4 linked regions of the Tamandua tetradactyla genome follow. The protein of the gene in region 4 purifies or fractionates together with the protein of the main gene of each other region. This does not show direct contact. Links are inferred from orthologs where the notes say so. Each region holds a gene or a part of one and is shown on either strand. Other genes may lie near its edges. The genes, in order: CYFIP2, NHSL3, EPS8L1 and ABI1.

Evidence for each region.
Region 1: the proteins of ABI1 (region 4) and CYFIP2 purify together in Homo sapiens (co-immunoprecipitation; 4 studies listed by BioGRID and IntAct, with this or other methods). This does not show direct contact. The link is inferred for Tamandua tetradactyla from reciprocal best matches to the Homo sapiens genes ABI1 and CYFIP2.
Region 2: the proteins of ABI1 (region 4) and NHSL3 purify together in Homo sapiens (affinity purification with mass spectrometry; 3 studies listed by BioGRID and IntAct, with this or other methods). This does not show direct contact. The link is inferred for Tamandua tetradactyla from reciprocal best matches to the Homo sapiens genes ABI1 and NHSL3.
Region 3: the proteins of ABI1 (region 4) and EPS8L1 purify together in Homo sapiens (co-immunoprecipitation; 4 studies listed by BioGRID and IntAct, with this or other methods). This does not show direct contact. The link is inferred for Tamandua tetradactyla from reciprocal best matches to the Homo sapiens genes ABI1 and EPS8L1.

What each region holds. Positions count from the first base shown.
Region 1 is NC_135346.1:38,357,046-38,364,269, forward strand, and holds the start of CYFIP2 (cytoplasmic FMR1-interacting protein 2), read left to right. Parts: upstream 1-4,207; 5' UTR 4,208-4,295; intron 4,296-7,224. UniProt on the Homo sapiens protein: Involved in T-cell adhesion and p53/TP53-dependent induction of apoptosis. Does not bind RNA. As component of the WAVE1 complex, required for BDNF-NTRK2 endocytic trafficking and signaling from early endosomes.
Region 2 is NC_135328.1:193,159,963-193,167,601, reverse strand, and holds the start of NHSL3 (NHS-like protein 3), read left to right. Parts: upstream 1-4,636; coding exon 4,637-4,862; intron 4,863-7,527; exon of another isoform or gene 7,528-7,639. UniProt on the Homo sapiens protein: Able to directly activate the TNF-NFkappaB signaling pathway.
Region 3 is NC_135342.1:4,599,811-4,607,770, reverse strand, and holds the start of EPS8L1 (epidermal growth factor receptor kinase substrate 8-like protein 1), read left to right. Parts: upstream 1-4,947; 5' UTR 4,948-5,034; intron 5,035-5,697; 5' UTR 5,698-5,735; coding exon 5,736-5,752; intron 5,753-6,847; coding exon 6,848-6,888; intron 6,889-7,754; coding exon 7,755-7,813; intron 7,814-7,960. UniProt on the Homo sapiens protein: Stimulates guanine exchange activity of SOS1. May play a role in membrane ruffling and remodeling of the actin cytoskeleton.
Region 4 is NC_135327.1:223,997,349-224,004,508, forward strand, and holds the start of ABI1 (abl interactor 1), read left to right. Parts: upstream 1-4,145; 5' UTR 4,146-4,304; coding exon 4,305-4,421; intron 4,422-7,160. UniProt on the Homo sapiens protein: May act in negative regulation of cell growth and transformation by interacting with nonreceptor tyrosine kinases ABL1 and/or ABL2. May play a role in regulation of EGF-induced Erk pathway activation. Involved in cytoskeletal reorganization and EGFR signaling.

The sequences.
Region 1 (7,224 bases), on a different chromosome or scaffold from region 4:
GTGGCAGAATGGAGTCTTGAACCCAGGCCTGTTTGTCCCCTTCAACTGTTCCGTGGACTGATTTTATAGTCATTTATGCTAGCCTCTTAAGACAGCACATTCTTTTTGTGCCTTAACTTTGCTGTACCCAGCATTCCAAACTCCTTTCAGAATATGCTCTGACCTTACTATCAGTCCTTACCCAAATTTATTGTAAATAGTATTTGTTCAAATAAAGATAAAATGTTCTTTGTTATCCAATTACGTGCTAAAGGATCTGATCGTCAACAGAGGCCAGTTCTGCAGAAGTTGCAGGAAATGACCAAAGTGAGGAAAAGGTGGAAGAAAAGGGAAGATATGCAGTTAGTTCCAAAGGGCCCAGGAGGGAACTGCAATGTTCCAGCCACAATGCAGTTCTCGGCTTTTCATCTATAAAATAACAAAATCTTAGGATTTTGTGAGAATGCAGTGCAATGAGGCCATCCATATAAAGTACTTAGCACAAACACTGGCCCCATATAAACATTCAATAAATGTTAGTTTAAAATATACGCTTTAGGGTGGGCCATGGTGGCTCAGCAGGCAGAATTCTTGCCTGCCATGCTGGAGACCCGGGTTCAATTCCCAGTGCCCAGCCATGCAAAAAAAAAAAAAAAAAATATATATATATATATATATGTATATATTCTTTAATAAATTATTTCAGATTCAAAGACAGTGGCAGGCAACCCTTTGGTTTCCCATGGAAGGACCTGGGGTCTGAGTTCAGCCCTGCCTTGGATAACATCCTCTTTTAGGCCTCAGTTCTTTCACCTGTAAAATGAGGCAATTTTGAGCAAATGGTCAGGTTTTATCTAATGGGCAATGTGAATTGTGTAACTGACCATGAGTTTCTCTTTTCCTGCTAACCACAAGAATGTACAGAACAAAAAATGTGTAAGCTTATTGTAGCAAGACCATGGCATATAATTTTTGTACTATTCACATTTTTCTTTCCATCTCTTTTTGAATTTTTTCTCTTCTTTCTTTTTGCTATTAATTTTTTAGCTGTTTTTAACTTTTAATTTAATGCATCCTTATGAGTTGCATTAAATATGTTTTGGGGAAAAGTGTTGATAAATATCTGGATTTGGTTTGGAAGAGGGGACATGGGGATGCTTATAATAGCAGTCAAAGCATCAGTGTTGGTTTCACTATAGGGGGCAAGTTATTTAACCTGTCTTAGTTTCCTCAGTTATAAAATAGGACTAATGATCATATTTTCCTCATGGGACTACTGTGAAAAATCAAATGGGGTAATGCACTGGTATAGCTTAGCCATAATTGTTATTTACATTTTCTCTCTCCAGAACGAATTCCCATGTCCTTTCCAGATACGCCACTGCTGGCTTCTAATAAGCAGGGTCTGCTGATGGTTTTTAAATGCAGACAACCTAGATGTTCCAAGTACTGTGAGCCTTTTCTAAAACCAAGGCCATGTTGCTTCACATGGAACCACAAGGCATGAGCCAAAGTTTTGCAAGTGGCAGAGCAATTCTCACTTGGTAGCTGCAATTTTCTTATTGCTGAGGGTGCAAATCAGTGTGGGACTTGAAGGAAATAAGAAGGCAGTACACAGACAGCTACAAATTTCACTGACAAAGTGGAAAATAACATTTCTTCTATCAATTATTCATGTAGGCCATTTTGATTACATTCCCATCATCTACCAATCTCTGTGCTAGGATTGGAGGACACAGTGGGGAGCAAGGCAGACCCAGTCCCTTGTCTCTTAGATTGTATGGTCTCATGATGGATGCAGGCAAGCAAATCAGCAATTGTGACACAGCATAATAAAAGTCATGATAGAGAAGTCCAGGATAGAGACACCTACCCAAGGCATGGAGGGATCACAGGTGGCTTCTTGGAGGAGGTAACATCTTTGTGGATAACCAACAGATGAAGAGGAGTAGATAGGCAAACTGGGGAAAATTGTAGAAGAGAGAGAAAAGGAGCTTTCTAAGCAAAAAGCTCAGCTCGGGCAAAGACCAAAGACAAGAGAAAATACAGCAAATTGTGGGAACTAAGAGACTTAGTATTTATTTTTTTTCTCTTCTTCTTTCTTGGGGGGAGGGTGAGGTGCATGGTCTGGGAATTGAACCCAGGTCTCCTGTATGGAAGGCAAGCATTTTACCACTGAACCACCTGTGCACCCCAAGTTGGGGAAACTAGAAGAAATTTCTTTTAGCTGAAACATAGTGAGCATGTCACAAGTAGAAAAGATTGGAAAGGCAGGGGCCAAATTATGAAGTCCATGATAGACCATGGCAAGGAGTTTGGGCTTCATCCCGAGAACAGTGGGGACTACTGACGTGCTTTAAGCCAGGAAAGGATCTGTCCTTTGTTTTTAACTCATGCAATTTTCCACATGTAGGAACTTTGTAGCAAAGCCAACTCACTGCATTTTATAGATGGAGAAACAGGTCACTCTTCTATTAGTTGCAAAACTAGGACCAAAAGACAAATCTCTGCATTTCTAGCAAAATGGTTTCAATCAAACCATATGGCTTCTCCTTTATACGTATATAGAATTCATGGGTCAGGGAATAATTGTTGCCTAAGATCTAACCAAGTATGCATGCAATGATATTCTTTGTTTTTAAGCAATTTATTCTGATTGGTGAAAAGACAAGGAAGGAACAGCAGGGTGAGCTATGTCTTCCAGAAAAAGAAAACATCCAAAATAATATGTCTTTTAGAATGAAATCCATTTTATTAGGATTCTCATTGTTAAGTCCTGGTAATTACTGATACTCAAAAATCCCAAGGATCAAGGTTGAAAACAATTTTTTTTAAAAAAACGAAACTTTACTTCCGTTCTTAAAATCATCCCCCACAAACTCCCCCACAGCTTTCTCACATGGCATCAGGGACAGAAATGTGTGTGTGTGTGTGTGTGTGTGTGTGTGTATGTGTATGTCATCCTTCTGAAATAGGGATTTAAATCAGAATGAGTAACGTAATATCAAATTACCAAGGATTATGAATTCTGTGCACTTGGGAATTATGCAAAATCAGCAAGGGCAAAGACTTACATAAGGTCTTTTCTGATCCTTGAACAGTGTGGCTCCTCTATAAATATCCCTTAATAGGAATAGCAGAGTGATAAAGTATAAATTTGTGAATCCTAGGCAAACATTTAAGAAAGGTCTCCTTGAAACAAGACTTTATCCCTTATATCTGTATACACTTTAAAATGTCTCAAATGCATTCAAATTACTTACCTGTGAGTGAGGAGGGGCATCTCGTGACACAGCAGTGAATTGACTGGCCTGGAGTCTCAAGGCTAGGACAAGCAAGGCTCAGCCTGACTTGAATCTGGTCTGAAGGTCCACCAGGCTGCATCTCAATGAAAATTGTTTCTTTGGAAAGCCATAAATTTCCAGAGAAATTTAAAAGAGAAGGGTGGGTACACATCCTCTCAGTTGCTATTGGGCCCCCAGGCATTGCCAGGAAGGTTTCCTGTTACCGTATTTTTGCTTTTTGTTCACTAGCCAATTCTAACTGGATGAAGCTGGGGCACGCTGGTGCTTAAGAGGTAACAATTTCAGGGATTCTGCCCAAAGTGACTGAAAGAGGGTAGGGGAAATTATTCCGGAGCAAAGGAGCAGCATTAGGGACTAGCCTCAACTAGTGTGATTGCCGCCCTCCCCATCAACTCCCAGGTTTATTTTCTATCATTTCACCCTATTCCTTTTCTTTCCAGTCCTTCTCCCAGATGTAATTTATGCCCATCTCTTCTGGTAGAGATAAGCTCCAAGAGGGCAGGGACCCTGTCTTCTATACACCAGTGCATACCCAGTTCCTGGCACGGGGCTTGAAACAAAATTGGTGCTCAGTGAAGGCTGGTTAAATAAATGAGCACTTGGGAATAATGTGAGAATAATGAAATTCGAACGGGTCCGAGCTTGCGATCCCCCATTGCTGTAGCGTGGGTCCCAGGAAATGGGGGACATGGGGTAAAAACATCCCTCCCTTTTCCTCCCCGGCAGCAGGGCGGCAGGATGGCCTGGGAACCCGACTGGTCCTCGTGAGATGCACGCTAGGGGTACCGAGAGCCCTTCGCCGCAGCCATTTCCTGCTCTTTGTGTGACAGCCGCGGTGGCAACCGGGCCGGGCACCGGGAGGGAGGCGGAGCGCGGCTGGCGGCGGGGCGGGGCCCGGGGCGGGGCCGAGCGGGGCCGCCAGCAGAGCGGAGCCCGGCAGAGCATCCTGCGCCCCGGCGTGGGGCCCTGCCGTAGCCTCGGGCCCTGGCCCTGGACCTGCCGCAAACCCAGGTAAGCGCCATTCCCCGGCCTGGGGACCCAATCCGGGGTCGGGATGCTGATGGTGACCGGGATGCGGCCGTGAGGACGCGCGAAGAGCCGGCATCTTATCTCCCAGCCCGTGGAGGGCACTGGGCGCCGCGCCCGGGTTAGCGGCCTGGGGGCTCCCCGGCAGTCCCCGGAGTCCGGGCCCCGGGCCCGGGGCGCCTCCCTTAGCTCTCCGGCCCAGCTTGGGCCGCACGCGCCGGCCCTCTGCAAGGACGCGCGGGCGCACGGCGGAGCTCGGGCGCGGCGGCCCCAGTAGCAGCAGGTGCGCGGCCTGGGCCGTAGCCGCCTGCGGGAGAGGAGGCGGCGCTAAACCTGAGGACCCGAGACACCTGCAGCGGCCGCCAGCACCGCTGCGGCGACATCCTTGCGCCCAGGTGCCGCGGGCCGCCTCCGCCGGGGCCACCGTCACCTCCCCCAGGGCCAGCGAGACCAGCCTGGGCCCGCCTGGTAGCTGCCTCGGGCACCGAGCGCCCTGCGGTGAATGTGAGATGGGTGGGGCGAGGGGCGAAGCGGAGACGTTTGGGAGTGGGGCGCTTTCATGAGAAGAGGAGGCACCACCCTTCTGACCCGCTTTGAAGCCTACTGGCCTACCGGATCCTCTCTCGCCCGGCCGCGTGGGGGCGGGGGAGGAGGTGGGGAGAATGCAATGAGGGGGCTGACTCCTGGGAGAAAGGTTGGGTTTTCTGAGCTCTGAAGAACCAGGAAGATGCCTACCTGTCTAACTACCTAGTAGCTTCCTCTGGTCAGGAACAGCCCTTCCCCTCAGTGGGTAAGCCGGCCTATTTATAAAGGAGGAGAAGGGGGTGCAGTGGTTTTGGGGTGGGGGCCGGTATGGTCCAGCGGGGCCTGAAGAATAGCTAGGAGAAGGATGGGGCTGGGAAGAACACTGGGAGTGCCCAGGTGCCCAGTCCCAGCCCAGGCAATCTGACTTTGACCTCTGCCTGCCTGTTTTCCCCAGCAGGGTGGAAACTCACTCAGGCTGATGGGCAGTCAGCTCCCCTTCCTATCAGCTCCTGGCTGTCTGCACCTTCACAGGTGGGCAGGGAGGCTGGAGCAGTCCTGCTGGCATGAGAGGCAAATCAGGAGAGTGTTGACGCCCGCGTTCCCCTCTGCCACCTCCCGCCTGCATCCCCTGTAAGGCAGCGGATCTCAGCATACTCTTGACCACAGGTCACGTTGCAAGTTGGGTCCCAGAGCCCTCAGATCTTGGAGGGTGAAAATCTAGGTCCATATTCTTGGTCAAGATTGTGAAGGCCTTGAAGTCTTCTCCACCACCAGACCCCTTCTCTATGGACTCCCACCCCCACTTGCGTAAATGCCCTGTGTTTCCCCGGTTCTCCCAAGTCAAAGTTCTCCCAAGTCAAAATTTGTGAACCTGTTCCTTCTGAAGAGCTTAAATACAAAAGACTTCCTCACTTGATTAAGAGCAGGTGCTTGAGAAGTCATTTGACTAGAAAGGAAACAAAGGGTGGAGACATTTTAATGGGAAACGAAGCTCTAAGTGAAAATATTGACATCTCTAATGGTGGAATTTCAGACAGCAGGCTGGAAATGTGGGGGGGGGTGGGGGGCAGCTGTCCCTGAAATGACAGCCTCTAGCAGCTTTCAGCTCTGTGTACTTGCAAGGGCAGTTTTGGCCCTGAGGGCAGGAATATGTAGGAGTGTATGCATGTCTGGTCAGAGTCATTGTCACCAGGAGACATCTGTTGAGCACCCAGTGTCCACTTGTGGGAGGTGAAACTTCCTATAGAGAACTACAGGTCGGCACTGGCTGCCACATGCTGGGCAGTTCCCAGCCACCAGAAGAGTATGTTGTTGCTTTCCAAGCTGGTGTCTCTGCTCACTCAGTGCCAGTGCACTGAGCCTCTGGCTGGGATCGGGAGCTCTCTGCTCACTAAGCTTCTTTATTATGTTTCCTGGCCAGTTCTGACTGGTTCCGGAGGCACCCAAGCCTGCCTTGTTCAGTCCCTGCTGGAAAATGGAAAAGGAAAAAAAGCTTGCTTTAGGCATTAGGCCAAGATTACTGACTTCCCAGAGTGGGTATAAAATCCACTAGGGTTGGAGAGTTTTTCTCAGATTCGATCTGAGGCTGGCCCAGAGAAGTAAATAGATATGAATATAAAAACTAGAAAAGGGCCCAGGGAGATTACTGCATGTCCCCTCTGATATATCGTGTCCTCTCAGGTGTTCAGTGGGCCTCTGCTGCTGTCATTGACCAGCAAGTAGAATTAGGTGGTGAAAAGGCAACAAGCTAATCAACGTTGGGGACACACTCCTGGAAAACAGAGCAGGGCTCTAGTTTTCATGTTTCAGGATTGGCCTGCATGCTCAAAGAGGTTTATTTGGGCCACTTTTGGCCTTGGGGTTCCACCAAGAACTTCACAAAATGGTGACCTCCATGTGGTCACCATAACAATGAGTCTATTTTTTTTTTTTTCTGGCACGTATTAATTATTCACTTGGTAGTTGATGAAACCAGACATCAGTCACCTCATTAGAGTTTTTGTGAAAGGCCTTTGGTCTTTTCATTCCAAGAAGCAAAGCCATGTCTCAGGTCCAGAGATGGACCCTGTGTCAGTACTGGAGGTGGTGGGAGAGGGTGGCGGGTGCTGCTGGCTTCTAGGCAGTGATGTGGGAGGTCAGCTGTGGTGGAGAAGGAGCTGACACTTAATTGGATGCTCCTGTTAAATGAGAGATTCGCAAGCATGCTAAGCAGAGTGTCTAGCATACAGTACTATTTTTGTTATAATATATTGATTACATAATCATTAAGAATTTGGCTTAAATATGTTTAACCCATAGCGCTTACCAACCCTCTACCACCAGAGCTTTCCTGAATTTTTGCTTTATGAAGGGAACTGGTCTCTGACCAAGAAACCCAGCTCCAGGTTTT
Region 2 (7,639 bases), on a different chromosome or scaffold from region 4:
GTACTTCCCACTCCAACACACTCATACACACATGCATAGGTACCTATACACACACACACACTCCTTTCCTAGGTAAAGTTGGATGTTTAGATGGGGAAACATGGGCCCAGAATGAGCAAGTGTCTTCCCTAAGGTCACGCAGCAAATCAGTGGCAGGACTGAGAGGAGAACCAGGTCTGGTTCTTGGGAAACTCCTTGGGAAAGCTTCCTTTCTTTGAGTGCGAAGTGCTTTTCTCCAAGATTCAACAATCAATTCATCCAAATTTCATTTGAAAAAATAGATATGGATATACCTACTTTTATATATACACAAATATTACATATTTTTATATATACATATCCCTATATATATGGAAACATTTTTTAAAGTAGTTGGGCTCTTTGCTAACTTTCAACAAGTAATTAATATGGGCTGGCTGGATAGCTCATTTCTGTTCAGACCTCAGAATAAAGCTTCTGACATTGCTTCCAAGTTGTTAAAACTCTTGGCATTTGCTCCGGCTTGTGTATAAGACTCAGTATTTTCTAACTACTGAACAACCAAAATAAACTGCAGAAATAAATTGGATGCTGGAGCTCAATTAATACCGTAACCATCACCTATGGCTCACTGTTTTAATTTTTTAGTTTATCAAAATGTTCCCACTGATTTTAAGTTATCTGGCTCTAACTTTTGATTTGTAAAATAAATTTATATGTATAAAATACTGCTTTTATCAGCTTTATCTATCAGAGTTCCAGGATGGTCTATGTTTGGAGAAAAAAATCCAAAACATGACACAATGAAAAGAAAAAAGTTTGGAAAACCACTTTTATACACTGTACAGCACAGAGAATAACAATCTGATTTTAAAAAAATTTATATATATATATAGTCATCCTCAGGAAGCCTGGAGCGCAGAGCTGGTGCTCAGGATATGTTTGTTAAAAGGATGAAGGAAAATAAACTTTTTCGACATTGGAGACTGGGTAGCAGCCAAAGCTACTCCTCCCTCCTCCCTCACCTCTTCTCCCTCCTCCCTCATCTCTTCTCCCTCCTCCCTCACCTCTTCTCCCTCCTCCCTTGCCTCTCTTTCTAGGAGCTGGAACAGATGAGCAAATAACCCAGAAAACTCCACTAACAACCTATCTGGCATTACCTCGGGTCAGTTATTTTACCTCTCACTCCAGCAGGGAAAATGGGTGGAATTAGGCTGGGGCCTGATTTGAAAAGATGCTGGGAGGATCAAAGATGACCTCAGCGGGGAAGTTGTCTGAAATGTGAACATGGCTGCTCCATCTGCCAGGAGCCACAGATAAGGGGAGGCAGGAATGCTGCCTGCCACCAAAACTCATTCCTTCTGCCCCCGTTCCTTCTGGAGGTACCCTGTGGAGGGTTAGGGAGGAGAGAGGAGGAGGGGATTGGGTGCAAGGAGCCCCTTCCTACCTTCTCCTCCCACTGAAAAGGCCCTGAATCCCCAGAGGACCAGAAGATAGATTTTTAGCCTGTTCTGGAACAGAAACCCCTTTGAGAATCTCCTTAAAATCATGGGGCTGTTCATAGGCATGTGCATTCAAAGTTAAGCAGACGACTTTGAGAGGTTCTTGGAAGCCTGGCTGTGGCCCTTGGATAAGTCCTCCCTGCTTCAGGGTCTTAAGGTGCCAGCCCTTGGGAAGCAGGTGGGGTGGGGGGGAAGGCATTGCCTAGCACAAAGTCAGTGCTCGATTAGGAAATGCATACACACAAACAGACACGTGAACACAAATCAGTTTTAAACTCTGGTTCTGCCCACAGGTAGCCTTGTGACTGGGCAAGTCATCCCACCTCCCCTGCAGCTTTTCTGTCTGTGGAATGGGAATACTATTAAGTTCACAACAGGCCCAGTTTTGCAGGACTACCCCTCCCTCCATCACAGTTCTTGGCCCTCCAATTGGTCTAAGAACTGAGGTGCTCCCACCCTCAGCTGGTCTCCCCTCTTGGTCTTCCCTGTGAAATGAAGGAGGCTCAACCACACCTTGTCCCAGCCTGTCCAGGCTGGAAGTGGGGAGTCTGTGGGGGAGGAGGCCAGGCCTGGGAGGGGGCAAGACTGGGGCCCATGGGAGATGGGGTGGGTGTGAGAACAACATCGGGGTGACTGTGAAATTTCTAAGAACAGAGGAACAAAGCTGGACGCCGGGGGTCCCCTGCCCTAAGCCTGGTTGTCAGTGGTTCCTCCCTGGGGACAGCCTGGCAGCTCCCTGCCTGGTCAGCTGTCTGGTCGGGTTGGACTTTGGGCCTGGCCGACAGGGGCAGCTGAGAAGACGGATCCCTCAGCTGCCTGTAGGGCCGGCATAGAATGCAGCCGAGCTGAGCAATCATTAATCCAGGCAGGATTCCAGCTGCAGTGGGGGGAGGGAGGTGGGATGCACACCCAATGTACCTCGGTAGCCTAACTGGTCCATTAGGCCAGGGGAAAAGAGGAAGCAGCTAAGGTTGCTGGTCTGAAGGTGGCCCAAACTGGGGATGGCAGGTAAGAATGTATCAGAGTTGGGAGCAGTGACCTCTTCCCACTTCCTTCCTCTCTTTCCCCTTCTCCAAATCAGGGGACCCAATTTAAGGATTTATTCCCCATACTTAGGTTAACGCTCTGCTGTTGTCCTCTTGAATTTTTAAAGAATTTTTGGACAAGGGGCCCTGAATTTTCTTTGTATTGGACTCCATAAATTACGTAGCCAGTTCTGGCCACTGGGAAGAAAGAGGTGCTGAGAGGGTTTGGGGTGGGGGGGCAAGATTGGCCAACATTCATCTCCCTCCACCCCTTCCAAGAGCCAGAATATGTTTGTCTTCCTTCCTGGCCCCTCCGTCCCCAGTGGATCCAGACTTTATCCAGCAGGCCAAGGCTGCACGCATCACCCTCTATGTCTCAGCCCTACCTTTGACACTCATCACTAGCAATAGGAGAGGCGAGGACCTGCAGGATAGTGTTGGGCTTGGCCTCGGTCTTGTACCAAAAGCTAAGGCCAGTGTGATCCCTGGGCAAGGGATCTGAATGAAAGGCCGATTAGAAGGGAAACTGAGGTCCTGTAAGTACGGTGATCTGCCCCAGGTCCCCCAGATGGGGGTTGTCAGTGAGGGCTCGGGCTAGCCACAGCTGAGCCCCTGGGGGCCTGTGGAGAGGTCACACTGTGTACCCCAATTTTCCTGCAATACTACAGTGAGTGTTGTCCATGGTGTGCTGGGGCTCACTGGGCTGTGGCGCCCCAGACACCCTTAAAGAGACGAAGATCAGGAGTGAGCTGGGTCACCAGGGTCAGGTTGGGTGATGCTGACAAACTCCAGCTTCTGGGGATCCAGAGAAGGGGGTCCAGGGATGCTGAGCCCACAGCTGGCCCGTAGGGCTTGGCGCCTCCCACCAGGCAGAGAGAAGACCCAGATGCTGGCCTTGGCTCCTCTGCTGACTACCTCTGTGCTCCTGGACAATCATTGCCACCTCCCAGCCTCAGTGTCCCTTCTGTTCGGTGGGGGTAACACTTCTTGCCTTGCTTCCCTCACAGGCTTGCTGTGGGATCGGATAATGTAAAAGTGCTCAGTCAGCTACAAAAATGAGCCAGAAGCCAGGAGGGAGAGTGCAGAATTCTCAGGATTTCTAAAGGTTTCACGTCCTCAGTCACCCTTCTCACCTGCAGAGGGTCTCAAAAACACCTTAGAAACTGTTAGTTCCTCAGGCCCCAGGATCCGCCGGATTCAGTGTTGAACAGCTCAGTAGAAACCCGGAGCCCGGCAGGGGAGCCTCAGGGCCTCCCAGCCTAACCCAGGAGGAAACGGAGGCACGACTCTCCCCATCCCAGGCACCAAAGGATGAACCGGTAGCCCAGGCGGCCTGGCCCTCGCCTCCACACCAAAGATTCTTGGATCCTGAAGCAAGGTGTGAGGAGGAGGGAAAAGGAGCGAAGAGGTAATTATCAGTGGCCGGGTGGGAGGGGAGTGCCAGCTGTCGATCACAGAGCTTGGGCGGGTCTGGGAAGCCACAGTCTCTAGGGCAAATGCCCCAATACTGTCCGGGTCCGGGAAAGAATTCTCAGAATTCCTTTATTCCAGGAAAAGAATTCATGAATCCCTCCTTCTCTTACCTGATCAAACTCGGGACACCTAGGTCTCCTGGGGCTCACCCCCCAGAATTTCTCTTGCTCTCCCCCGAGCCTCCCCACCAGTGCCGCCCTCTTCCGGGCCGAACCCCGTATTGTGTCCCCTCTGGCACCACCAGTGCCGCCCCCTCCCGGACCCGCCCCGCTCCACCGCCCTCCGGGCCGCGGGCAGCCCGCACGACCGCGGCGTCTCAGCACCAGACCTCGCCCTCCCCCAGCCCAGCCCCAGCCCGGGACCCGAGCCGGAGGAGGCGGGGAGCGGCCGGAGGCAGCGCAGCTCCCGCCCCGCGGCCGCTCCCTCCTCTGGCTCCTTCCCTCCCGGCCGGCCTCCGCGCCCCGCCCGCCGCCGGGCCGGCCCCTCCCGCGCTGCCGCTCCCGCCGCCCGCACCGTCCTCGCTCGCTCTGCCTCCGCCGCCCAAACTTTTCTCCCGGCGCGTCTCCCCCGCGGCGGCCGCTCGTCCGCCAGCCCCCGCCGCATGGGCGCCGCGCCGCAGGGGGCCTGACCCCCGCCTCCAGGTCCGCGTCCAGCGCCATGGCCACCCGCGCGCCCCTCGCCGCACCTGCGGCCGAGGAGCCCGGGGGCCCCCCGCGCAGGAAGAAGTCCCGCTCGGGCGCGTCCAGCCTCCGCCGCGCCTTCAGCTGGTTGCGGGGCAAGCGGCGCAAGAAGAAGGCAGCAGGGGCCGAGGGCGCCGAATCCGCCGCCCCCCGGGCCAAGAAGGCGGACGACAAGGCCAAGAGGGCCAAGGGCAAAGGCCGAGGTAAGGCGGCGGGCACCTGGGCTGGGCGCTGGGCGGTGCTGAGGGTGCGGCCGCGGTGGTTCCGCCGGGGGTCCCGGGCGTGTTGGAGGCCGGGGAGACTCCCAAGGCGCTGGTGCTGGAGGAGCGAGGAGCCGAGAGGGGCCGGAACGTCCCAGACACAGCTCCTCTGCTCCACTCTGAGGGCAGGGGACCCCCGGGTGGGCAGGGATTCCTAGTTTCAGCAGGAAGTGCTGGCAGTCTGGCTGGTGAGGCAGTGAGGCAATTCCCCCCTCCCCCAGGCGCACTCAGGTCCTGCTCTCTGCTGAGTCAGGGGGTCAGAGACTTGACTCTGGCCTGGGGCCAGTAGGAGAGGCAGGTGGCCCTGGATCTCTCTAGGTCTCGTGTGGGTCCCTCTGGGTCTGGAAGATCAACTGCACTCAAAAGGGGTTTCAGTCCTCTAGGTGGGTGTGGGTTTCCAGCCCCAGAAAGGAAAGCACCCTGCACTAGGTCCTTAACAGTGTTAGTTTTTTCCCACCTGGCCCCCTTCCCACTCACCTGGGCCAGACTGCAAACATCCACCTCCTGAGGTGGTGAGCTCACTGACAGGAACCAAGTGCCCTTCCCCACCACTCCTCGCCCCACCGGTAGAATTCACAAAAATGTCACTGTCGGAAGTATAGTTGCATATGGGGAAACTGAGGCCCAAATTAAATGGAGAGGCTGAACCCGGGCTGGAGTAGGGACTTGGAGGAATTCGGTGTTGTGTTTTTTTTTCTCTGACAGCCTCTGGCCTGATGGTTGGGCAGCCTGAGGGCAGGGGAGGCCAGTCTGGCTCTTCCCTGATGGGGTCACTTTTCTTTTGACCACTAGCTTGGTTTCTCCCTTATTCACCGTCAGTCCCCATCTCCTGTTTAGGTTGGGAGGGAGGAGGGCCTGAGGCTCAGCAAAAGGGTGAGGCACCCTTGGGGCTTGGTGTCCCCAGAAACCTACCTATCTACCCTTCTGCTGCAGTGCTGGAGGTGAGGAAATGGTGTAGTGTGCGGGCCCATCCCATCCGCCTGTGTTCACCCTCTCAGTGTCCTCTGAAGGAGAATTAGAAGGAACACTTTAGGGATCAGGAAGTGGGTGAAAGAGTCTCTTGTGTGATTGCATCTGGCCCCTTCTTCCTTTTGGATAAGGTCCCTGCTCCCTTGCAGCCCAGCCACAAATAGAAGTCAGGGTGCTGGGGCTGGGGTGTCTGGCTCTCAGTGGGGCCAAGGGCTCTGCACTTCTCAGACATGAAATCTGTCCCGGGGCTGCCTCACTAGTGTTCCGTCTGAAGATACCTCCATCTCACTCAAGAGGTAATGGGTTGGAATTGCAGCAAGTTGGATTATGGTCAGACTGTCAGGATTGGCAGGCAGAAGTCTAGTGGTATACTCCAGGGCAGTAGACCCTTTTTCCCTGGCAGATCAGCCTGGAGGCAGGAGCTGGAAAAGCTGATCCTGAAAGTACCTACTCCAACAGCCTGGGTTGGGTTCACTGGGTCAATGGCCAGGTCTCCCTCCACCCTGATGCCTGGTATCAGGTGGCACTGGGCTTTCCAGGCAGCAGGTCAGCCTGATTTGAGCCCACGTGTGTGAACAACACCTCCCTGCCCCTAGCTGTTGTTTCCCTGGGTCTAGGGATGGCTCAGGTACAACTGGAGGAAGTCATGCTCCATTCTGCTCCAGCCTCCTATTATTCCAATTGTTTCCTTGTCACCTGCCCAGCCCAACTTCTCTGTTTATTAAGAGAAATAAATCTGATCTCTCTAATCTCCGTTGGCACTGCTGGCCAGGGAGGGGAAGCCCAAAGAAGGCTTAACTCTTTCTGGGGAGAATGTCCAGAATGGAGACTGGGGAGAAGGAGGGGAGTATAGACAGAAAATTCTTGGAAGGTCAGGGGCCTTTTTGGGGGGAGCTCATTATCTCCCTCACCTCAAGTTCTGAACCAAAAATCCAAGGGCTATGCAGTTAGTTCTAGATGCCCCTAGCTGACTCCTCCACTCCAAAGACGGCAAAGCTTAGCTTGGAATACAGTTCCCCAGTTCTTGTCTTTCAAGACTCCTCTGCTCCCTTCACCACCCTGCACATACTTAGGAAAAAAGAGGAAATTTGACGTTTATTGATTATTCTGAATGTCAGGCATCCTGTATCCATTATCTCATTTGATCCCAATTACGAGTAAAACAGTTGAGGTTCGAGGTGAGTAAGTGGATTGACTTTCCCAAACTGGGATTTAAACCAGTTCGATTCCCGAACTGGTATGCTCTTATGACCAGTACTTGGTCATAAAATTAGTATTGTTTTTATTTTCCTGCAGACATGGAACAGAGGGCTTAAAAGTTGGTTCTCATCCAACCCATTCTATAGATGGGAGAAGGCCCAGAGTGTTGTGGGAACTTGATAGAGAAGAAGAGTATTGGAGTCAGGCAAATGGGAGTTTAAATATCGGTTCAGCTGCTAGCAAGCCCTGTGACATTGGGCTAGTCATCTCCTCCCTTTGGGCTTACTGATTCTGTTACTGTCTCATGGGGAAGAGAGGGTACCTTTTCTCAGGGGTGACCCTCTGGCTAGACATTGCCTGGATGGATCTGTGACCTCTCTATCTCTCTAAGATGCTCACAAGAGAGGATATGAAAATTTTATAAATTGGAGCCACCACAGAAATGCAGGGGTTGCTGTTGTTGTGTTTATAAGTTTAATCACCTGAGCTCCAAGGACCCTGCAGGAAGAGGAGTGGGCCCTGAGGCTGACAGAACAACTCTGCTGCCCTGG
Region 3 (7,960 bases), on a different chromosome or scaffold from region 4:
GTTAATCTTTGGGGAATCAGAGTATATGGGAATTTCTTCTATTCTTCCTGCAACTTTTCTGTGAGTCTGAAATTTCTCAGACGTTGAGCAAAACACTCATTAGCTCCCCAAATCTCTCCAGTTCTTGGGTTGGCCCTCAGATCTTCCCGTTACCTCTGGGACCTCACCTACCCCTGCCCATTCGGCTCCAGCCGCTCTGACCCGGCAGGTGCACACACCGGGCGTGCTCTCACCCCCAGGACATCTGCACTGGCCATCCCCCCACATAAACTCTGCAAATCCTTCCCCAGATAACCCCATCATTTCCTTCCTCGCCTCCTTCAGCTCTTCAACCAAAAATCACCTTCTAGGTGATATCTAAACTTTAAACAAAACCCAAAAGAACTGTCTTGACCCTCTTTATTTTTATCCATCCGACATTTTACATAGCCAATGGTTTAATTTTTATTTTATTTGTAGTATCCTCTGTGTCCTCTGCCAGAATGCAAACTCCCAGAGGGCAGATTCTGGGCTACTTTGTTCACTTCTGGCTGCTGGTACCTAGAACAGTTCCTGGCACAGAACAGACACTGAATAAATATTTACTGACTGAATGAATAGATGTCTTGAATGAATGGTCATCTGAATTTCAGGGCTGGGGAAACCGAGGCTCAGAGACGGGCTTTCAGCTGCGCTGGAGCCCACAGCTGTCCGTCCTCAGAGCCATCTCTTCTCACGCCGCCTCGGCTATGTAGCTACGTGTTCATTCCTTTGTCTAGTAATTCCTCGTCACTATGCCAGGCCCTCTTCTGAGCACTTCTCGTGTTTTCTCACGCCAAATCCTCCCTCCCGCGCTTCAGGCAGCCTCTGGGAAAATGCCCATTTTAGAGAAGAGATCCAGAGGGCTCAGGGAGTAAAGTCTCCTGCTAGGACCACGAAGGATCTATGTCTACTACCCAGGATCCAAACTCGAGCGTGCCCGGAGCCCTGTCCCCTTCACCGCCGCCTTGGCCCAGCCCCCCGGCCTCGGAGTCAGGCGCCTCCAGTTTCAGGAAGGGGCTGCCAGCCTGCCCTGCCCTTGTTCCCGCCCTAAGGACAAACAGCTCCGGCCACCCGCCACCCTCCTACCCTGGCCAAGCCGGTTTTAGACTCGGCCTCCCAGGAGTCCCACATGCCTCTCCCCGCCCCGTCTCTAGGGGTGTCCAGTCCCGCAGGAACTCCCAAAGAAAAATACTACATTTAGGGCCATCTGTGCCCCCAGCCAGACAGGCAGGCGGGGGGCAAACCCATCTGAGCTGGAGTTTTGTCTTTGTCATGGTTGCAGTTAAGCCTCCAGCCACACCCCCCGCAGATGCCACCCACCAGCCTCCAGGAGGTATCCCATCAGCCTGAAACCCTTGCTGCTCTGCCAGCTCATTCTCGAAATTCAGGTCAAGGCTCAGAGAGGCCTTTCCTGACAACCCCACCTGGAGCAGCCACCCCTGCCTGCCCTCAGTCACTCCAGCTCTTCACCTCTGCTGCATTTCTCTCCTTGATCTGAAAAGTACATGATACTTCATGTACTTGTCTTCTGCTACCCCCTCAGTGGAAGGCATTCCAAGGTCAGGGGCTTTGTCCATCTCCTCCGCCAGCACATGCTTGGCATACAGTAGGAGCTTAATAAGGATTTGCCACTGTAGAAGCCACTACCAAGCTTAGAGTGCAATGTCTTGCCTCTTTGTCCTTGGCAAACTCCTGTTCATCCTTCAAAACCCCACCAGTTAACGCTGAACCGAGGAAGGCTTCTTTGACTCACACACACTCGCGAAACTGGATTAAGAGCCTTCCCTGGGCACACACAAAGCTCCTGGGCCACCCCTATTCATGGACATATCACAGTGAATTGCGACTGTGCATTCCGGCACAGAGGGTGTGACACAAATTAGGTCTCCACAACTATTTACTGAATGTATAAATTAGTAGTTAATTAGCTGTAAGGAAATGTATCTCTCTGAGGCTCAGCCCCCATCTTATAACCACCCCTTCCCCACCCCACCCCTGAACACACACACAACCTGCCATAGCTTGCTCTCTTGCCAGTGAATTTGATCTCCAGGAGTCCATCAGCAAATCCTACAATCTAGGAGAGTTTGGGCTGGGGGTGGGAGGGGAGGGGGTGTATGGATGCAAGACACGGGGATGCTTCAGATATGACACAGACAGAAGTCTGAGCTGCTCAGGTCCCAGAGAAAAGTTCTACTTGGTTCCTAAGACCTCTCAGCCCAGAGGAAAAATTGCCCAGATCCAGGACAACACATATACCGCATTTTGGGCATGGAGCTTGGGCACGGAGGCAGGCGCCGAGCAGAAGGCTCTCCAAACCCACAGGGCAGGCTGCGGTCAAAAAGGGCTCCTAGGAGGCTCTTCCCGGTACCTCTCCTCCGCCCAGGACTTGCTGCGTCAGCTTGCAGGGGTGGTGCCTCCTCCCCTGGTGTCTGGGGAGCACTGGCTCGGATCTGCAGTGAGGGCGGGGCCTCCTCTGCAGCCAGAGAAGGAAGGAGGCAGGAGGCCAGGGCCCGGGAACCAGGGCGGAGGCCCAGGTTTCGGTCTGGGCAGCAGCTTGGGACTCCGAGCCGGTGCGGGAGGGTGGGGTGGGCGGCCTGCACGGCCCCCTGTGCTAGAGCTGGGTCCTGCCCCTCTTCCCCCAGACCCGGGGGGCCAAGCCCCCAGCGCCCCCTCCTCCAGACCCACCCACCTCACACAGGTTAACTAGCACATGTGGCCTTTTCCCTCAGATCCCAACCCACGCTGGGTTGGGCTCAGAAAATATTCGCGGCACGAATGGAACAAGGGCACAGAGGGACAGGAGCAAGCGGAAGTCAAAACCAAAAAGCCCAACACCCCCCTCCCCTCCCCCGGCGCAGGGGCCACCTGTGCTCTGGCCGCTGCTCTCCCCTCCCCACTGGACTTGGCCAACTTGGGCTGCCAAACTCGTCCTTCAGGTCTTAGCTCCGCCCCCACCTCCTCCAGGGAGCCTGCCCGGACTTACTCATGCGGCACATGTGGAAAGACGGCCCCTGTCATCGTGGTGGCTGGCTGTCCTGCTGTCACTCTGCACTGAGCCCTCCGTGACTCCATTTAAACTGCTCAGTATGGTCACCCCCACTGCAGAGTTAGATAATTGCAGCACAGAGAGCCTGAGTAATTTGTCCAATGTCACACAGCCATAAAGGGGCAGGAACATGAAAAAAGAACAGAGGGGATCCAGGCTGTGCATTGGAACGCCTAGGTTCAGCCATCAGGGCCGCTTAGCATGTGCCTCTGTTTCCTCATCTGTGAAACCGGGTAACCCACGCATCGCAGGATGTTGTGAGGACACCCCACGTAACCTGCTCAGAAGAGGATCTGAGCACACCCTGAGAATTGCATCAGTAACTGGTCAAGCCGGGAATGAACCCACACCTCCAGAAAGCCTGCCCGACCCTCCCAGCAGCCTCTTCTGGACCACCTCTGCCATCGCAATATCCTGTGTCTCTCTCTCTTTCTTTAATCCCGGCAAGTCCAGGGCAAGGACGAGCCTTCTCCGGTCCAGCCTCATTCTGCATAGCTGTGGAATCAATCCGAGTTGAAGGAAGTAGTGAGGCAAGAATGCACAAGAACACACCCCATGCGAAGCAGTCATTCATTCAACAAAGATTTCCGCACCTGCTGTGTGCCGTAGGTGGTTCTATATGCTGCGGACACTGTGGGGGACCAAACATACAAAAGTCTCTGCTCTCGTGAAGCTCACCTGCAGGAGGGGAAGACATAAAATGAACAAAATAAACAGGTGTTAGAAGGTCATGAGTTCCCTGGAGAAAAATAAAGTAGGGGAGCCAGGAAGGGACCACAAGGTGTGTCAGAATAGGGGGGATAAGAGGTGCTGCCATTTAAATGAGGGTGGTCAACTGGGCCCGCTGAGAAGGTGCCATTCAAGCGAAGCCCTGAGGGTATGAAGCCTTCTGCCGGAAGGGCATTCCAGCAGGGGCACAGCACGTGCAAAGGCCCTGAGGTGGGGGGGGCTGGGTGCTCAAGGAACAGTGGGGCCCCTTTGCTGGAGCAGAGGGAGTGAGGTTAGAGGAGGCCACGTCCTTATTAAGGCCTTGTAAGACTCCAAAGAGAAATGGGGAGCCCACTGGAAGGTCATGAGCAGAGCCAACTTCGGTTTCTACAGAGCCCCTGGGCTGAGACTAGGCCGAAGGGGGGAAGGACAGAAGTGGGGAGACCAGTTAGGGGGCTCCTGCGAGGGCCCCAGGAGCGGTAATGGTGGTGCGACCCGCGTCCCCTGCCGTGGATCTAAGGTCTGAGACTTGGAGTCGGGCACTCTCGTCCTTGTGCCCGGGGTACTGCGGCACAGAAGATGTCCTTGGTGAGAGATTTTATAAAGGTGTTGATACCCAAGAAGTCTGTTCATTTCTGTGACACTTGGAACTGCGCCAGGGCACTTTCCAAGCTGAGTCTCAGCTGCAACCACAACAGGGGATCGCGGCGGGACCTTCCTGGAGGAAGGGAGGGGAAGAGGACATCAGGACCCCGGAGTGCCCAAGGACAGGAGGTGTCCCCAGAGGCAGAGCAGGGACGGACACCCAGGCCCGTTTCACAGCCCACCTTCTCTGTGACCATGAGCACACGGCTTATGCTCCCTGGGTTTCGGCTTCCTCATTGGCAAATCAACCCTGCGCAAACCTTCCCCCCCACCCACCCCCGCCAGCCCTGCAAAAGGCGAAGAGGATCTGAGGGGAGGTTGAGGCAGTTTCCCACTCCCACAGGTGAACAAGAACGGCAGCAAGTGACTGCTGTTGTTATTACTGTGTTACTGCCACAATGAGACAATTAAGTCTCCGGCTCCCCCGAGGCAGCCCAGCCCCCTCCTGGCCTCTCTGCCAGCCCCACCCGGAGGCAACCCCTCCCGGGCTGTGCCAGGTGAGCGCTCAGGTATGCGGGGGGCGGGACAGCCTGGGAGGGAACCGGAAGGAGGGGCCACGGCTGGAAGGGAGAGGAGAGCAGGACCTTTCCTCTGACAGAGCTGGCTGGCAGGTGAGAAAGGGGTACCCCGAGCCTGGGTCTGAGGGAGGAGGGGCTGGGGGACCCCAGGATCGGAGGAAGGAGGGGCTGGGGGACCCCTGGGTCTGAGAGAGGAGGGGCTGGGTGCCTGGACCCCCAGATCTGAGGGAGGAAGGGTTGGGGGACCCCTGGGTCTGAAGGAGAAGGGGCTGGAGGCCTGGACCCCCAGGTCTTGGGGGGGTGATATTCCAGCATCTGGGCTCCTGGGAACTAAGACAGCAGGGTCCGGGGGAGCCCAGGCTCCTGAGTCCGGTGGAGGTAAGGGCTGGAACGGGAGCTCCCACTAGCTGAGGGAAGAATACAGATAGGGTCCTGAGGGGCTGAGAAATTGGATGAATGGTTCTTCGAGGAGACTTGGGGTCCAACACCCTTGGTTCTCAGGGAGGGTGAGCTCTGGCCCGACTCCCAGGCTCTCAAGCAGCTAGAGTCGGAAGACGAGATCCCTGCATAGAGGAGGGAAAGTGGGATACACAGAGGTTAGGGAATGGAATGTGGGGGTCCCGGAAGACCTGGGGGCCCTGGCACTGGGTGTAAGGGAGGAGGGGCTGGGGGCCTGGAACCCTGAGTTTAGGAGGGCTGGGGTTTGGGGTCACGGGGGCCTGTAGGCCAGGCCCTCACACCCCCACTGGCCCCCAGGGCATCTCCAGGTGGGCAGGAGCCACCTTCTCGGCACCATGAGCACCACCGCCCGGTAAGTGTCCCCCCTCCTGCGTCCCCCAGCAGCCCCTGCACCTGCCCACGGTGTTTGCAGTGTTTGCAGGAGCCCAGGGTCAGGCCCAGCCCAGCTCCACACACTGAGGAGGAAGCCGAGTGGCCTTCCCCCTGCCCCGGCCTGGGGTTGGCAGCTCCGGCTCCGGAGGACGCAGCCCAGGAATCAGCTGAGCTCGCACGCTCAGCCTGGCTGTCGTGAGAAGCTGACGGGACAATGTGCACCACGACACAAGCCGCCGTCCCTGCTGTGGAGGTTATTTTATTATGGACAGCGATGGCCCTGTGCTAGGACATCTGGGCTGTGTGTCCTAAGCTACAAGCCTCCCAGAGGGAGCAGGGAGAAGGCAACGAGAGCCGCAGGGATAGCTGCATGGTGGGGGTGGGGTGGGAGTTCACCAGCCCAGGGAGACCAGCCCTGCACAATGAGGGGCAGTTACCAGGGCTTCTGGCCCCCCTCAGCCCCAACCCCACCTGTGCTCTGGGCTTCTGCTATTTCCTTTGGAAACAGGGATCTGGGAATTCTTCCAGGAGAAAGTGACCTTAAAGGGAAGGCTGAGGGGAGGAGACAGAAGGGTTTGACTGGGGAGGACCTGGTCCATGCGGGAGGAGGGGAAGCGGTGACTCTCCTGCTCAAATGTTAACTCTACCGAAACACCTGCCGCGTGTTGAGCGACTTGTGTGTACTTAGACCCGTCCAACCGTCTTCGTGATGACAGTGACAGTTACTGGGCTGCAGAGCTCTCACCCGCATCGTCTCAGTGAATTTTCCCAACAGCCCCACCAGGTGGATGCTATGCGTAACCCCATTTTCCAGAGAGGGAAACTGAGGCACGAGACATTCTCATGGCAAGGGAGCAGCAGACGGGAGATTCGAACTCTGGTCTGCTGGAGAGTAGAGACCATCCTGCTCCCCACCACACACTACCACTGACTCATCTGTTTTCTTGGCCCTCTCCAGTTCAATCCTTCTATGGCTCCCCATTGCCTCATGATAAAGTCCCTGCTTAGCATTCGACACCTCACATCACCTGCCCCTAATTCTCACACTCACTCTCAGCCCTCTTTTCCTTCCCAGTCCAGAAGCTGCCCCCAAACCAAGTGCCAAGTCTATCTATGGTGAGTGTGGGCCCAAGAAACCTTAGGCTGGGGTTGCTGAAGCCCTGCACCCCCGGGTCCGAGGGAGGAGGGGCTGGGAGCCTGGACCCCGGGTCCGAGGGAGGAGGGGCTGGGGGCCTGGACCCCGGGTCTGAGGGAGGAGGGGCTGGGAGCCTGGACCCCGGGTCTGAGGGAGGAGGGGCTGGAGGCCTGGACCCCGGGTCCGAGGGAGGAGGGGCTGGGAGCCTGGACCCCGGGTCCGAGGGAGGAGGGGCTGGGAGCCTGGACCCCGGGTCCGAGGGAGGAGGGGCTGGAGGCCTGGACCCCGGGTCCGAGGGAGGAGGGGCTGGAGGCCTGGACCCCGGGTCCGAGGGAGGAGGGGCTGGGAGCCTGGACCCCGGGTCCGAGGGAGGAGGGGCTGGAGGCCTGGACCCCGGGTCTGAGGGAGGAGGGGCTGGGAGCCTGGACCCCGGGTCCGAGGGAGGAGGGGCTGGAGGCCTGGACCCCGGGTCTGAGGGAGGAGGGGCTGGAGGCCTGGACCCCGGGTCCGAGGGAGGAGGGGCTGGGAGCCTGGACCCCGGGTCCGAGGGAGGAGGGGCTGGGAGCCTGGACCCCGGGTCCGAGGGAGGAGGGGCTGGGAGCCTGGACCCCGGGTCCGAGGGAGGAGGGGCTGGAGGCCTGGACCCCGGGTCTGAGGGAGGAGGGGCTGGGAGCCTGGACCCCCGGAGCTGGGGGAGGAGGGGCTGGGGCGTGGACCCCTGGGTCTGAGGGAGGAGGGGCTGGGGGCCTGGACCCCGGGTCTGAGGGAGGAGGGGCTGGGGGCCTGGACCCCGGGTCTGAGGGAGGGGAGCCTGGACCCCAGGTCTATCCACCTTCTCCTCCCGCAGAGCAAAGGAAGCGTTACTCCACTGTGGTTATGGCTGACGTATCCCAGTACCCCGTTAACGTGAGTCTGCCATCTGTGCTGCCACAAGGAGTCTTGCTGGGGGAGAGGTGGGCCTTGGAGATGGAGGCGTTAAAAGCAGTTGGTCCACTAAGTAGAAGGAATGGAACACTCAGTTTTCTCATCTACAAAATGGGTTTCCTTTGCCTT
Region 4 (7,160 bases):
TCACCCACAGAGAACCTCTTTTGTTGCTCATATGTGGCCACTTTCTCTACCCCAGCTCTTCAGGTGAGCTCACTGTCCTCCTCCCTACATGGGACATGACTCCCAGGGGTGTCAATCTCCCTGGCAACATGGGACATGATTCCAGGGGATGAGCCTGGCCCTGGTACCATTGGAGTGAGAAAGCCTTCCTTACCAAAAGTGGGAAGAGAAATGAAAGAAAATAAAGTTTCAGTGGCTGAGAGATTTGAAACAGAGTCAAAGGATCATTCTGGAGGTTATTCTTATGTTTTATATAGATACCCCTTTTCAGTTATTGGTGTATTGGGGTAACTAGAGGGAAATGTCTGAAATTGCTGAACTGTAATCCAGTAGCTTTGATGCTTGAAGGTGATTGTATAACTACATACCTTTTGTGGTGTGACCATGTGATTGTGAAAACCTGGTGACTGACTCTCCCTTTATTCAGTGTGTAGATAGATGAGTAAGAAAATAAATACAATAAATAAATAAACAGTAGGTGGAGTGGGAGGGTATGGGATGTTTTGGGTGTTCTTTTTCACTTTTATTTTTATTCTTTTTATTGTTTTTGGAGTAATGAAAATGTTCAAAAACTGATGGTGATGATGAATACACAAATGATACTGGGTACCATTGATTGTATATTTTGTATATTTATTTTATTTGAATATGTAATACATTCACATGATTGAATATTCAAAAGGCTCAACAAGTAGGCTTTGAAAGGATTTTATCTCACATCGGATCTCCAGCCTCCCAGAGGCAACAGATGTTATCACTTTCTTATAGGCCTTCTAGAGATTATATGTACAAACAGTTTTTTTACTTAAATAGATCACATACTGTTCTGCCTCCTTGTTTTTTTTTTATTTCTTTAACCACACATTCCTGAGATCGCTGCATATCATATATTAAAATGTCCTCATTGTTCTGGGGGTGTGAAGGTAGTTCAGTGGTAGAATTCTTGCCTGCCATGCCGGAGACCTGGGTCCAATTCCCAGCCCATGCACTTCCCAAACAAAGCAATCAACAAAAATATGGTATGATTATATGGTATGTGAATATATCTCAATAAAACTGCATTTAAATATATATATGTATGGAGGAGCACTAGGTTCCTCCATATTTTCAGGATCTGTTTTTAAACTTTTTAATCTTTTTTTTAAATCTGTTTATCTATTCATGTCATCACTAAATATTTTTTTTTTTTTTTTTTTTTTTTTTTTTTTTTAAAGGAAAGACAGAGAGAAGGAAGGATAGAAGGCAGGAAGGGAGGAAGAAAGGGAAACATCTTTTAAACATTTTCTTGTTTTATTGTATTTTGTTTCTCCGTTTTTGTTACATGGGCTGGGGCCGGGAATCGAACCGAGGTCCTCTGGCATAGCAGGCAAGCACTTTGCCCGCTGAGCCACCGCGGCCCGCCCATCACTAAATATTTTTAATTATAATAGCTTTTAAATATATTTTCATAACTAAAAGAACTAGTTTCCCTCATGTAAAGAAAACTTGTCATTGCAGTTTGTGGAAATAGTTAAAGATTGAAAACAATGTCTTTCTATAATTATGATACATCCACTTACAAGAATACCAGAAAGAACAATGAGGAAATTTTTTTTTTTGTATGCTGTACGGCAGGGTTTTATTTCATTCTTTTCCCATGTGAGTATCCCGTTATTGCAGCACCATTTGTTGAACTTTTATTTTTGTTGATTGCTTTGTTTGGGAAGTGCATGGGCTGGGAATTGGACCCAGGTCTCCGGCATGGCAGGCAAGAATTCTACCACTGAACTACCTTCACACCCCCAGAACAATGAGGACATTTTAATATATGATATGCAGCGATCTCAGGAATGTGTGGTTAAAGAAATAAAAAAAAAAACAAGGAGGCAGAACAGTATGTGATCTATTTAAGTAAAAAAACTGTTTGTACATATAATCTCTAGAAGGCCTATAAGAAAGTGATAAAATCTGTTGCCTCTGGGAGGCTGGAGATCCGATGTGAGATAAAATCCTTTCAAAGCCTACTTGTTGAGCCTTTTGAATATTCAGTCATGTGAATGTATTACATATTCAAATAAATAAATAAAATTAGGGAAAATTCAGGAGGTCAAAATTTACCCCTGTTTGCTCAAAACTCTTATACAATTCGCTAGGACTTAATTCCTTTCGATCTTGACCTTCCAAGAGCTGCTTTTATGTGAGCATCTACATAGACTTGATAGAGTGTGGTCCAGGTGTTTCACAAACTTTTTTGACTTTGTTGCAGAGTACGAAATATGTTTTCTTATACATTTATTATTTAAAACAAAAACTTCCATTGATTATTACCTTACTGTTGTGTTATGCCCGCTAATATTTTCTTGCCTCTTTTACTTTTTATAATCCTGGTCATGATGCATTATATCGATTTCTTGATCATAGGTATAGAGATTCATTTTGGAAAACACTAGTATATACTATAATTGAATATTTAGAAACATTTTTTACATTATTTCTCACTGATTTCTTTACTCAAATGAGAAAACATATGATACTGGTCAGTTTCAGAATAGCTAAGTCTAAAATTCTTCTGCATCATGTGTAGAAGATTGGAATAAGATACCTATACTGGTAATTTGCCACAAAGAAACAGGCATACATCTAGAAGCAAAGTGCAGTAAACAATGATCTATTCTTTTAAGGGAAAGTAAACAGACAAGGACTGAATCCCATCAACTGAAGTGGACTTTCTGAATTGTTTTGGCAGTGGAAGGTCTTCAGTGGACATTTTATTTAACTTGTCAAAGAATACTCCTGTACATAAAGGAGTTTATAATGCGCCTGATTTAAAAAAGGCTTGGGTTCAATTGTCATTTAAACTAGTGAGATGTTAAGCAGGGAGGCAAGTCCAGGGTACCTATCACTTCAGCAGAAATTTCAGTAAGTCGTAATTACATACATCCCTTCCCCTCAATTGCATTGGTGGGAATTTATGGAAGAGAACCTCTAAGGAAGGTTGAGAAATGTAGTTTACCTGGACGGTCTAGTGGCCAGTAGGAAGGAGAGAACAGATTTGTGAGGGCAAACAAGTTTTCATCACAAAAGCTTACATGCATTGTGTTACTTTGAAAATGTGCTGAATCCTTTACGGTATTTTTGTTACCTCCTTTATTACTTTGAAGGCATAGGTTCTAGCAAGATTATGTAATTTACTTAGGGCCACACAGCTGGTGGATGGCTGAGGTTAGATTTAAAATAAACAAGGGGAGGGACTTCCAGAATGGTGGAGAAGCGACCTCAAAAACTTGCTGATAAAAGCAATAAACAACAAAAATTGCCAAAATCAACTTTTTCACAACTCTGAAAACCACAAGCTTGCAACAATCTGAGGAGCACTTATTCAAGAAAAATAGCTGAAACTCAGTAAGAACAGCAAGTTTTGTGGCGTTTTCATTTGTTTTTCTTCCCTCTCTCCCTCTAGCTCCACAGCAGCCTCTTGAAAACCGACAGCATCACAATCACGACAGCTGTGAAAAGCCAGCAGCTTAGCAGCCACTTGGAGAGGAAAGACAGGTTTTGGAGTGCCTCCAAAAGCCCAATCATTTATCTGGCTGGAGCTCCCTGGAAAAGCCCCATTCTCAGTATTTTTCTTTATCCGACTAGACTGAAAGCTCACTCAGAGCAACAGAATTTAGGAAACTTATCAAAACCAATCAGAAGCAATTGCTTATCGCAGCGTCATCTTTAAGAAGATAAAGATGTGGGGTTTTCCATATTCTATTCCTTTTTAATCCTAATCAGAATCCTTGTTCCAAATTCACTGACGTCCTAATTAGGAAAGTTTCACAGCCTGCCCTGGGAAACGGTTTTATTCTCCAGAATCACCCTGTGGCGCCATCTCCCGGAGCGATAGCAACCTCCGGCCCTAAATCCCCCGCCGCAGGTCAACGTCCTTGATTGACGCCCCACTCCTTCCTTCCCGGAGGTGCCCTGGGCGCATGCGCTTCCGTCGCGACGCCCGTATCTCAGATACTACAATTCCCAGAAGGCGGTGCAGAAGAAGAAATACCAAATCCCGCGGCCTGCGCTCGCTGAACGATCGCGAGAGCAGGAGGTCCGGGAGGCTGCGCGGAGCGAGTGGCGGGGGTGGAGAGGGCGAGGAGGAAGAGGAGGCGGCGCTGTCCCACAATACCAGGCGGGAGGGCGGGCAGGCCGTCGGTATCCGGGCTGCGAGGGGCGCCGAGCTCCGCCGACCGTGCTGCCGCTGTCTCTTTAACGCGAGAGGAAGCGATGCGGAGGGGTGGAAAATGGCAGAGCTGCAGATGTTACTAGACGAGGAGATCCCGTCTGGCAAGAGGGCGCTGATAGAGAGTTACCAGAACCTGACGCGGGTGGCTGACTACTGTGAGAACAACTACATACAGGTGAGGCGCGCGCGGGCGGGCGCTGGTCGGGCCGAGGACCCCGCCGGCCGCGAGTGACCAGCCCCCTGGGCTGAGTGGGAGCTGCCCGACCTCAGCCGTGGCCCCCAGCCCCAGCCCCAGCCCGGCCGCAGCCCCAACCCCGGGCTTAACCTCGGCTCCAGCCTCAGCCGCAGTTCCTACCCCGGTCCCTACCGCAACCGGTCTCCAGCCCCAACCCCGTGTCTGGCTCCAACCTCAGCCCCAACCTCAACCCCAACCCCAGGTTAACCTCGGCTCCAGCCCCAACCTCAGCCCCAGCCCGGCCCCAATCCCAGCCCCAGCCCCAGCCCCAACCCCAACCCCAGCCCCAACCCCAGCCCCAGCCGCAGCCCCAGCCCCAGCCCCAGCCCTAGCCCCAGCCCTAACCCCAATCCCAGCACCGGTCCCATTCCCGGCCCCAACTGCAACCGGTTTCCAGCCCCAGGTCCAACCCCAACCCCAACCCCAACCCCAACCCCAACGCCAATCCCAATCCCAACCCTGGCTCCAGCCCGAATCCAGCTCTAACCCTGGCCCCGGCCCCATTCCCAACCCAGACCCCAACCCCAACTCTGGTCCCAACCTTAGCTCTAACCCCGACTCCAGCCCCAGCCTCAACCCCAGCTCTAATCCAGCCACATCCCCAACCCCAGTTGCAACACCAATCCTGGCCCTAGCTCTAACCCCAGGCCATCGCCCCGGCCCCGGCCCCAACCCTGCCCCTGCCTAGCCCCGCCGGGGAGAGCAAGTGTCGGGGCTGAGGGAGTCGGGCCGCGATACAGGAAGTGGCTGCGGCGGTTGAAACCCAGGAAGGGGAGGGAGAGCAGGGCGCGGGCGTCCCGGGCGGCCGCCTCCGGCGGGCTCGGCCCCTCGGCTCTGCGCGGGGACCGGGTCTGGACGGCGAGGCGGGGGAGCGCGGGGCCGCGCGGGGGAGGAGCGGCGGGGCGTGGGTCGGCAGACCCGGGTGGGGGCGATTATGCAGTTCAACCCAGAGGGTGTGTCTTTTATTTATTTAATTTTTAAAAAATTTGTCATGAGTCACATCACACAGACCTCCCGAGGAGTGGAGGGAGGGGGTGGGGAGTGAGGGAGGACGTTAGAGAGAAGTAAATCTTGAAATTCCTTTAAGTGATGGTTTGCTTTGCCTGCCTGTCCGTTTTCAGGTCTGGTTTGCCCTTCTCATCATTTTCACTTCCGCCCTACCTTGAGTATTTTAGAGATTGTTAGGGCTGTCATTGTGATAAAACATGGATTATTCTTAACTGCTTTGGGGAAAGGTCTTAAATACTCTCCCCAAAAGTTCTCAGGCTGACTTCATGAGTAACTTAAAATAGAATGGTCTAATTGCCGATTGCTCTCTTTTCTGAGGTTGCTCTCTTTTCAGCTTATGTCAGTGTATACAGTATGACTCCAAATAGATTACCCACTACATTTGTTTAGCTTTTGAACCACAACATAAATGATCAATTCTTGAAAATTTATTAGAAAATCCTTGGAACCTTATCTATGACAGATAGTTTTTGTTTGTTGTTGCTGTAACGATTGGAAGCGAATTATGTGTGTGGTAGTTAGGTTTGTAGATCTTTGGGTAGACCGACAGTTTGCAATAGGAGCAAGTCAAGTAGCAGAGCAGTCCTTTGTATCAGTATATTGGCACCAGAAACTCACTTGTTTTTGGTTAAGGCGTTGACCAAAACTCTGTAAGGTTAGAGTTTTTGCAGTTCAGAACTATAGTATTTTTAGATGTGTCTCCCATGTGGTTATCATTTTTAAGAACCAATGTTTCTGTGTTGGCAAATATTTTTCTTCTTTATTTTTAGAGGGAGATACTGTTTTAGAATATTTTGAATATTTGACAATTTCCATATTAGTAACATTGTATCTGCAGTAGTATTGCTAGGAATTTATCTTCATAAAACTTTTCAACCCTTACTTTAGTAATTCTAAGTAAACTTGTTGCATGTTTGTCCACCTACTGTATTACTTGTTTGTGCGAACTTTATATTTAGCCTTAAACATTTTAAAATCTAGTAATGTGGATATAATTAGCAAATAGAAAGGTGATTTTTGTCACTTATCGATATTAAAAACATGCAACTTTTATTCAACTTAATATTAAAAGCGTTAAAATTCAGGTGAACCTTAATTTACTGAAAATTTTAAAGGTTTTGAAAAACAAAGAGCACAGAAAATGAAATTATCCCCATCCCAGACAACTGTAGAAGCAGTGAAAGTAGTAGATAAGTAAGTACAGAAGGGGAGGCTCCTTTTGTTTTGCATGTTGGGAAATCAGACAAGTATATGATGTGGTAACTGCTGCTGCATGTTGGCAACTGTTAGTAGCTGAAGACGTGTGTTAACCTGTCTGCTGACTTTCTTTTTCAGATGCTTGTATGCTGTAAGGCTTTTTTCTCCTCTTTCCTCTCTGTCTCTCTCTCTCTCCTGACCTCTTTCCTTTTCCCCTCCTGCCACCATCATATAACTTTGAAGCACTTGTAAACTTCCTTGGAAATATCCCTAAATTAGATAAATCATGTTATTTTTCATCTCTCATTCTTTAAAATATTGGTACCATGGTACCAAGAGCCTCTGTTAGAGGCCTCTAGTTTTTTTTTTTTTGGTGGCTCTAAACTGGACACTAGTGAGATATCCTGATTTTACTGGAAAGCAACAACCAAAAAACAACCAAACCAGATGAAATTCACATAGCAATGATTGATG